Linked DNA regions of Nothobranchius furzeri. The protein of the gene in region 2 interacts with the protein of the main gene of each other region in a biochemical or structural test. Links are inferred from orthologs where the notes say so. Each region holds a gene or a part of one and is shown on either strand. Other genes may lie near its edges.

The links. The genes of interacting proteins can lie anywhere in the genome.
Region 1: the proteins of mapk8ip3 (region 2) and mapk10 form a complex in vitro, tested with the Homo sapiens proteins (3 studies listed by BioGRID, with this or other methods). The link is inferred for Nothobranchius furzeri from reciprocal best matches to the Homo sapiens genes MAPK8IP3 and MAPK10.

Annotation. Positions count from the first base shown.
Region 1 is NC_091746.1:59,119,979-59,124,763, forward strand, and holds part of mapk10 (mitogen-activated protein kinase 10), read right to left. Parts: intron 1,265-4,785; coding exon 1,201-1,264; intron 1,096-1,200; coding exon 1,018-1,095; coding exon of another isoform or gene 1,001-1,017; exon of another isoform or gene 988-1,000; intron 1-987. UniProt on the Homo sapiens protein: Serine/threonine-protein kinase involved in various processes such as neuronal proliferation, differentiation, migration and programmed cell death.
Region 2 is NC_091752.1:51,054,364-51,059,151, forward strand, and holds the end of mapk8ip3 (C-Jun-amino-terminal kinase-interacting protein 3), read right to left. Parts: intron 3,550-4,788; exon of another isoform or gene 3,521-3,549; coding exon 3,482-3,520; exon of another isoform or gene 3,376-3,481; intron 3,180-3,375; coding exon 3,015-3,179; intron 2,469-3,014; coding exon 2,322-2,468; intron 1,720-2,321; coding exon 1,595-1,719; 3' UTR 1,453-1,594; downstream 1-1,452.

The DNA.
Region 1 (4,785 bases), on a different chromosome or scaffold from region 2:
AAAAAAATGTATCAAGACATCTTGTCTTGAACCTAACTTAAAAAAGGAGAATGACACAGAGTAACACAAGTGTTGTCAGTGTTGCTGATGCAGTGGCACACCAGTTCTGACTCATGCACCATGCTCTCTGCTTCTTTGCTGCAGTGAAATACTGCTGTCTGCAGCTCCTGCAGTGCGTCTGGCATGCTCAGCATCAGACGCCACACACCAGCCCATCTCCTTAATTACTGGAGGTTGCAGAAACGGAGAAAAAAATGGAGAATGCCAATTTGAACAAAACAGACATTAGGAGAAGCACAGAGATGACAAACTTCTTGCTTTTTTGTGTTAAATTAACCATTTTATTGTTGTTTAATATGTAATTTTTTGGTTATAAATCCAGGCTAATGAGTTCAGCCCTGCTCATGAGACATTATTGGCAGTTGGTTGGTTGGTTGGTTGGTTGGTTGGTTAGTTAGTTAGTTAGTTAGTTAGTTAGTTAGTTGTTAGTTAGTTTTTAAAGATGAGATTAATATCAGTGTCACTGTCAGATGCACATTTTATCTGCAGCGGTGTTTTCTTTTCAAATCTGCTTTTGACTCAAACAGCAAACCCAAAATCTGGAATCTGGTTGTTGTTGCTGTTGTTTTTTACTTTTTACTGCCACCCTGTGGTGAACTAGGAGAACAGCACTTTCCCTACAGTGGGAAAACTTCATCTGCACCTTCAGACAAAACCACGAGACCCAAACCTTAAGTTATGACGCATGTTAAACGCACAAACAAATATACACACAACATTTCTTCTCATTTCCTGTGGCAGAAAGCAGTTTAGCAGACATAAATGTACTTCTTACGGTTTTAAAATACAAATACAGCAAAACGACACCACTGAACTTAACAACACTTAACATTGGATGCAAGAGACAAGAGACACATGGTCAACAGCACAATGGTAATCTCTATTTACAAGGGAAAACTCCATTAAGTTTATATTAAATTCACTTACAGAGCGATTAGGCTTATGCACTGAGAGTACCTGAAGGTGAAGGTTGTCCCTTCACAACGCCATTCTTCGTTCTCTCCTCAAAGTTCATCACTTCTTTATAAATTAGCTCTGGCAAGGCAAACAGAGAGGAAATGTCAGTGAAGCACAACAAACATAATCAGTAGAAGTAGACATGCAAACATGAGATAGGAGGGGAAACGGCGGCTTTAGTACCTTTCCACTCATCAATAGAGTGTTCTCGCTCATCCAGCTGTTTGTCGTAGATCTGGGGTGGAGGCTAAAGTTAAGAGAGAATAATTTATTTAAAACCTATTTAGATAGCATCAGATGCCCTGAAATCAAAAGATGAGGTCACATAGAATATTTATGATTTTAGACATCAGGTTTTGTCATGCTTCAGAACTATGTCATTAGGAATAGAAAGCACATCTGAACATCAGTAGGCTAAAATAATAAGCCACACTTTATTAAAAACCTACAAAAAGCAAAACATAATTTTACTTGTTATATGTTTTAACAGTTGCATGGTTGTTCATGGAGTTTTAAACAGTTTTAACTCCAGTAAAAAAAACAATTACTTGATTTGAACATTAAATGTGATGAGGGTAATTATGTCCATCTCTCTCACACACACACACACACAGACACACACACATGTGCACACACACAGACATACACACATGTGCACACACAAAGAAGGTTAGTGGAACAATGAGGAAAAATTTGCCCAAAAGAAAGAGCAAATTCGACCGAAGTATGGAAAAGATGAGTTTTCCTGTGTGAACATCAACAAAGTGTTTTGTTTCCATGGTGTTCATTTTTCTTTAAGTTTATTTATTCTTTGAGCTCCTGCAGAGACAGTGCTGTACCTACAACAATGTTCATAAAGACAATAAGGCACATTGCTCCATTGTCTCATATCAATTTCTGTAAAGTTGCTCAAGAAAGATATCTTTATCTCAATTAATTTAGTCTGCACTGACACAACATCTGAAAACATTAGCCAGAGTTCACATTTTAAAGAGGCTGCAGACATCAGTTTACATCAGCAGGTGGCAGAGTGGAACTGTTTTGTTGTGTTTCAAAACACTTTCATCATACAAGGATTTGCTGTAAAATGCCCAACATCAGGCTTTTTGAGAAAAAGAAATAAATCAAATAAATGATCTTGTAACATTCCTGTAGCTTAAAGCTCGACTAATTAACCAGCGGGTCCCTTTTTGTTCTTCACAGGAGGGTTTGTTCTCTTTATTATTACTCTTGCGTGGACATTAATGCGGCTCAAACGGCAGCGCGCACCCCCACAAATTATACATCGAAATGAGCGGATTGGCTGTGGGAGGTGTGCTATTACTTTTCTAAGTGTTTCGATTCACAATGGTGAAATTATTAGCTAAAAACAGTGAATTTTTTGCATTTTGATGTTGTGCCACTCTAAAATAGCATAAAATGTGAATATTAGCAATTAAACATGCACATAATTGATTAATTAGATGGCAGGCCCTCTAAAGTGGCATTTTTACATATGCATGAACAATATCATGATTTTTATTTTTATTTTTACCTTAATGTCACCCAAATATCATGATTTTGGGGTGGTCACCCTGACAATCTTTTTTGGCCTCTTTAGCACATGGCCACTATCTTGTGCCAGCAGGCAGGTCCCTTTTTAAAATTGATTCAGGAATTTTCTAGTAAAATTTATCATTCTATTTAAAATATTTATGAACAATGTAGGGAGACAGTGGTGCTGTTCAAGCAGAGGAGAGCTGCTACAGGAGCTCAGAGTGTGTTTTTCAGGTCTTAAATATAAATAGCAGTTTGTTGTTTTGTATACTTGGGCTTGGTTCACATGGCAGGATTTAAAAATTGCCAAGAATTTTTAAAACATGAGACTCCACATGTGGCGATAAATAATAATGACATGCCAGTTCTGGTCCTACAGTGTGTGGTGTAAAGCTCACAGAATCTCTGAAAATCAAAGTTACTTTGAAGTAAACCAACATGGCCAAGAAATATTCTCTGTGCTTCCTTCAAATCACTTTCTGATTGGTTACACATCATAATCAACATACAGCATGCTTGTTTGTCTTTAATATTGGACCATGACCATCCAACATCTTGAGACTGGAGCTGCCCTGACATGCTTCTGAGGGGACTAGAGCACTCTTAACACATCACACACAGCAGACATATCTGAAAAGTTTCTCTTTGGAGCCGTTACATAATTGGGCTTGCCATTATGACTGTCAGGAGGGAAAGATCAGACCATACAGCAACATAATTATCTTGACCAGTGTCAAGGACTCAGGACTTGTAAGTTTAGGGGCAAAAATTATTAAAAGCATCTGTAAGAGCATGCTTGCAATGGATAATGTGAAAAAAAACAGTACTTACTACAATACAGTACTAGTTTTTACAGTATATGCTTTTGTTGATTACCTTGTTTTTATAGAAATGCCAATCTGATTAATTGCACAGCCCTCGTATAAAATACATTAAATATTATGTTATATTGCATTGTATTATAATGTATTGCATTATATTGGATTGTTTCATATGAATTGGAAAACTATTTCCCTGGCTCCAACTTTTTAAAATTACTGTTTTGTTTAAATTCAGCCAAAGGTAACTGGAAAAAAAGGCTTAATTTGGTGCATAATTAGTTCCCCAGAACAAAGATTAAATACGTAAATATTTTTTATGGAGCACCTACAAAACCAATATTTACATTCCCATTGTTCAAGTATCTCTGACAGACACAACATGATGTGTTAATATGAAAATTGTACAAAAATAAAAATAAATAAGAATAAACATTAAGTACATTTATATTTATCACATGAAATGAACACTGATTTCCATTAAATTCTGCGTGAATATAAGTTACATCAGATCTTTAAAATCAGGATTAAACAACAGAAGGAAGAAGATAAGATCATATCTGATGTGTTGTTTTGCTTCAGTCCCACGTGATTACTACTTCACTTACCAGGACACAGCTACACTGTCTCACTGACTTATCGTGATTCTGGCTCAATCACCATACGCTTTTTCTCTCACCACAACCACAGGCTTCTGATGAACAGTTGGAGATCATTTCTCTCTGAACATGGATTTATCTAAATAATTTCTTTAAAATATCAATACAAGTCGGCCCTTAGAATAAGGCCTTTTCCTCTGGAATCACTCAACATTTTAAAGGTGTGGTTCACTCTGATTGCTTTGTAAGTCATAGTCTAGGGGAAAAAAGCAATAGTGCGCCTGTTTCAGGAACTAGAAGTGAGCCACATCAGGCCTGAGCTTCGGACTGCAGGATTTGGAATCTTTTTTTCTGGATATTTGGACATCTCTCTTCTGATTGGCTAACAGCAACATGACTCTGCCAATAGGGAGCCTAAGTCATGCCCATCTACTTCCAGACCATGGGTCCCCGGAAGAACGAAATGAATGCAAGTCAGTGGGGCTAAGAATGCTATTTTCTAATTCTGCTTGTTTTGTGCCATGGATTTCACATACAGTATGATGTTCGTGAATTCAGCAGACACATTTTGTTACCAAGAACGTGCTTATTTTCTAACGGGAGGGGGGGACGCTATTTTAGGTTTTGTGTGAAATGAAGTCCAGACCTACAAATGCACTTCATGAAAGTGATGTCATCAAACCAGACACGGAGAAAACGGAGGGAAAAAGGCTATAAGTTCTGCAAACTTCCCACAGATGGAAAGCACCACCATAAATCTGGTAATTTGGTAAGTAGCAGCTATGTTAGGAGAGAGGAGATTATGTGGTGACGTC
Region 2 (4,788 bases):
AGTTAGGATGCTTCCTGGACTCCTCCCTGGTGACGTTATCCAGGCATGTCCAGCTGGGAAAAGACCCAAAGGAAGACCCAGGATATGCTGGAGGGACTATGTTTCCAAAGGAGTGATCATTACTTTTGTTTCTGCATGTTCAGGAACGTGATCCATGGCAGCGACTCGATGGAGAGCGCGATGAAGGAAATTTCTCTGTGGTTTGGTCAGAACGAGCTCCATCGCTGGGAGAGCTGCAGCACCAGTTGGATCTACTGACAGCAGCTTAATCCCGTCCCACATGAACACCTGCAGACCTGAACACCAAATAGATCCTCCTCAGACATGCTTTGTTTTGGCTTTAGCAGGTATCTAGTTACACAGAACGGTCATCTCTGCCTTATTGCATTTCTCTGTTTACATTTTTATTAAAGTAAGACTTTAACATGGGCAATGCCTCAATAAGGGACGCCAGTGCTGTCTTCTGGTTTTTGTTTTTCAGTTCAGATTGTAAAACTTAGATGAAAGGATTGTTTATCAGGTAAATGCACCTTTATTTGTGTTAAATGAACACATCCTGCACCTGTCAGGTGTGCAACAACCTGACGGCTCAGCTTTCCATTGAGCTGAGATGTTTATAATCTGTTTGACTTGCAAAAAACGGTTATGTGTCATTATCCAAATATCAGCATCTTTGACTTCAGATTGTTCAGAGTTGTGAAAATGATCATGTGGAAGGACTTGAATGTAAAGTTTGCAGCTTTCATGTGTTTTTATATTTTCATATGAAGCTTGACTTTAAGGTGAATCTGTACTTGAACACGTTTTTACTAAACCAGCCCAGCTGCATTTATCCGTTACTAAAGCAACAACAAATCAGTCATTTTACGCGTGTTTGTTGTGAAGCGAACCACACACCACTCGCTGCTTTCAGCACACAAATATGTTTAATATTTAATCCACAGATAAAGAGATCAATGCACAGATTTCTATACTGAACCGGGAGGATGCATCTTGACATTTACAGTTTTTATCCCTGTACATAAATAACATGCCAGCGCTCGCCTGCATCACACCCCTCTGTGTGAATATGAACATGATCCGACCTTTGACCTGCATCAGGAAGCTGGAGATGTTTCACCCTGGTGGTTTTAAACAAAACGTTTTAGTCAAAACAAACCAGATTATCAGACTTTCACTCATCTGTTACCTTTACGAGATAAATAGAAGTCAGCGGGTGAAACCAGACTCTTGGCCGACATTCACACTTTTACTTGTTTTTGGGGAATCTGATGGGATCTGGAAGAGGAGGTGACGTTTTTACAGATAAACTCAAGGAGCAGCTGTTGCAGGACAGCCGAGGGAGAGGACGGGGATGGATGTAGGGAGGTAGATAATGAGGTTTATGGTGATGGTTACAGCTTCCTGTGTGACGGACACAGGGTGTCAGGCAGATAACTAGATCAGAGGAGATGGAGGGACAGGAGGAGGTTTATTAGTTACAGGAACAATGCAAAGCTCAGAGGGTAGTTTTACAGCCAGAGGGGAACTTTTACATGATGGGGGGGAATTGCAAGGTTTGGATGGCTGGAAGCTTCCAAGACAAACTCCGGTGTCACTCTGGGACATAAGACACCTGCCAGACGATGATGTGGCTCCGCTCAGCCTTGCTCAAAGCAGGTTTCATCTGTGAAGCCCCACTGTTGTCTCCGTCCTCCGTCTCATCGTCCTCTCCGTCACCTGTGGAGGACGAACCAATCCAACTCAACAGCTAGTCAGGCTAGAATTATTTAAAAAAAAAGGATGAAAAATACTTGTGATTAGTTTCTTTCACTCTTTTATTCCATTTGTTGGGAAACCAGAATTTTATTTATTAATTTAAAAAAATGTTTTTTTGACATTTTAGGGTTGCACCGTGCCTCTAGTGCCACCTGGAAACAAAAGGAACTACAATTCTAGTTACATTTGAATCAAAGTCATTCAAATTTGAAATTTTATTTTGTGGTATTTATAATTTTACATTCATATTTTAACAGATCCACGAAGCTTTTTACGCAAATGTTTGGAAAAGATCTAAAGGTGGAATCTGGCAGGAAAACACACAAAAACTTCTAATTTCTCCTGAAAACACATCCTTTCTTTGCTTTAAACTCCCAGTTAGATGAGCTGTTGTAGGGTTTCTTTATTTTTACCACCTTAGAAAAGCAACCGTACCAATTCAGTTCATTTTTAAACTAAGACAGACAGAATATGAATAAATTATATTGGAAAACATTAGCTAATATTTAAATTTTTTCTTTTATTAATTGGGTGTTCTGATAGCAGTGTGTGTGTGTGTTTACCTATGCGGAAATCGATGTAGCCCTCGCCCCCGCTCAACACCAACACGTTGTGAACACTCTGCTCCTCCGTCTCTGTTGGTGCCGTGGAGCTCTGCCCTTCTGACGGGCTGTCCAGAACACTGCCGTTCAAGGTGGCCAGAACGTTGCCTGTCATAAAATACAGCCCAAAACTTTGCATTAATTGTTAAAATAACAATCTAAAAACATCACATTAATTTTCGCAGGTACAACCCCAATCATAGGCCCATTTAATCTGAACCAAATAATCTAAACGTTTTAAAGAGCAAGTCACCCCCTGCCAGAGTCTTACTCCACTCCCACTTCCTGTTTGAAAAATGCAAAAAATGCTGTTGCCTGGCAAGACTACACACACATGATATTGTGACCTCATAATGTAACAGCTGACATCATAGTGTACTTCTTAGCCTATAGCAATGGCAGATTAAATTTAAATGCAATGCAGAGTTTTTACCTGAAAACTGTGCAACAATGACAGTTTTAGGCAGAATATTTAAATGTTAACTAAGATGCACTTAAGTGCCAAATGATTGCATGTGTCTACAGCTTGGTTAGACACTCATTTATATAGTTAATCAGCAAAAAAGAAGTGGATTTGGGGGTGACTTGCTCTTTAAATATAAGCTTGGGTCTGAAACAGCAGGAGCTCTAAACCTAATCTCGGCGTTTACTGACCCGGTACGGAGACAAAGAACTTAACAGCATCACGGTGTCCATGGAAACACAGCTGGGCTTGTGCCATGGAGCAGTAGGGAATGAAGCTGCCGCTGCTCTTCTCTGATCCGTCATCACTGTAGACGTGGATCACGCCTCCGGAGGACGTGGGAGACACCTTATTGGCTGGAGCAGAGGGACGAGAGACGACGAGAACGTTCACAAGCAAATCATAAACATAACAGAAACCATAAACAACACATATACTAACTTCTACATTGCACGTAACGTTTTATTAAAGTCACAATAACTGATGACATGCATCTAAAAAGTCAAACATCTCTCTGACAAAACAATAAACACGGAATACTTTTATTTTCAGGAAATTAATCAGAGAAGGAAGAACTGAAAGATGAAAATTCAAAAATAAAACAGTCTCAAGAGATTGGACGGTTTGGCCGGGGGAGACGAGGGGAGGTCCCACTTACCCCTCAAACCCAGGAGCTGTCCCCGATGAAGGACCACCGCTTTAGGAGAAGGAAGACGAGGAGGAGGTGGAGAAAGAGGACAGTGACAGTAATAATTAGGATTGGGAGAACAAGCTGCTACTACTGAACAAAGGAAGGAAACAGAAAGTGGGAAAAGCTGAGGGGAGCTGAAGAGGTCTCCGTGTGGACACTGGACACGCTGATGTTTTTTATGGATGTCCGAAGACTCAACTTAAACCAATCAGAAAATGTAATATTATAATATATTAATTAATATTATTAGCTATGTGCATGGAAGTCATAGTTTATAATTTAATAACAGAATACCAGGTAATTTTAATACAGTGAAAAATAAACACAAACAATCATACTCTCATGGATTCTGTTTCATAAAAATATATGAATATGCTTTTTATCAGCTTTTGTTTGTATTTCAATAAAGTTCTCGTCACGGGTTTAGCAACTTTTTCCTTTTTTCATGCTGTATTTTATTTTGAAACCTCTAAAATGACTTAACTATGTACTAAACCCCACCCCTTATGTGCTCATTGTGCAGAGTATTTATGTCTTGGTCTATTTAAATGTTTTAAAGGAACTTTACGGAGTTTAGAATTTTTATGCTCGCGATTGCCCCCTCAGGCCAAAAGCGTAACGACAGCTTCAATAGGAGGCTCGTGCACGAGGCGCGCATGCCGTACGTGCACACTCCTTAACGAAAATAGCAGCTGAGACAGTCCCGTGTGTGTGTGTGTGTGTCCCGGAGGACAGAGGACAGGAGAACATGCAGCTAATTAATTAAATAATTTGGTTCTGTACCTTTCTCTTCAGCACAGCCGACAAAGGTTTATGATGGGTCAGTCCTCCTGCATGCTCAGATCATTCCCTTCCCTTGCTTAAAAAATTGTTCCAAAATGAAAGTTGGACCCACATCTTTTTTTATCTGTGAATTCAATGCCGTTCGGCGAGTCTCAAATAAAAATTTGGGCATCTTACTGTAAAAAAATATACCATTAATGTAAAAAAGAAACTCTAAAATAACTATGTTCACATTCAGAACTGAACCCGGGACTTCTGCACAAAAGCCCCAAATCTTACCAGGCGAGCTAAACCATCTGTAACATTTATATTCTTGATGACAGCTGAAACAACGTTCAACGAATGGTTCGGAGGGCTATGCCTGAGCGTGAACGCGCATGAAGCAGCCTGCTCGACCCGAGCAGCTCTCTTTTTCTGTGATTTTACAGAAAAACAGGCAATCACAGTAAAATGCCAGGGCTCATTCTACCGGACCAGGGCATTGCAGGAGA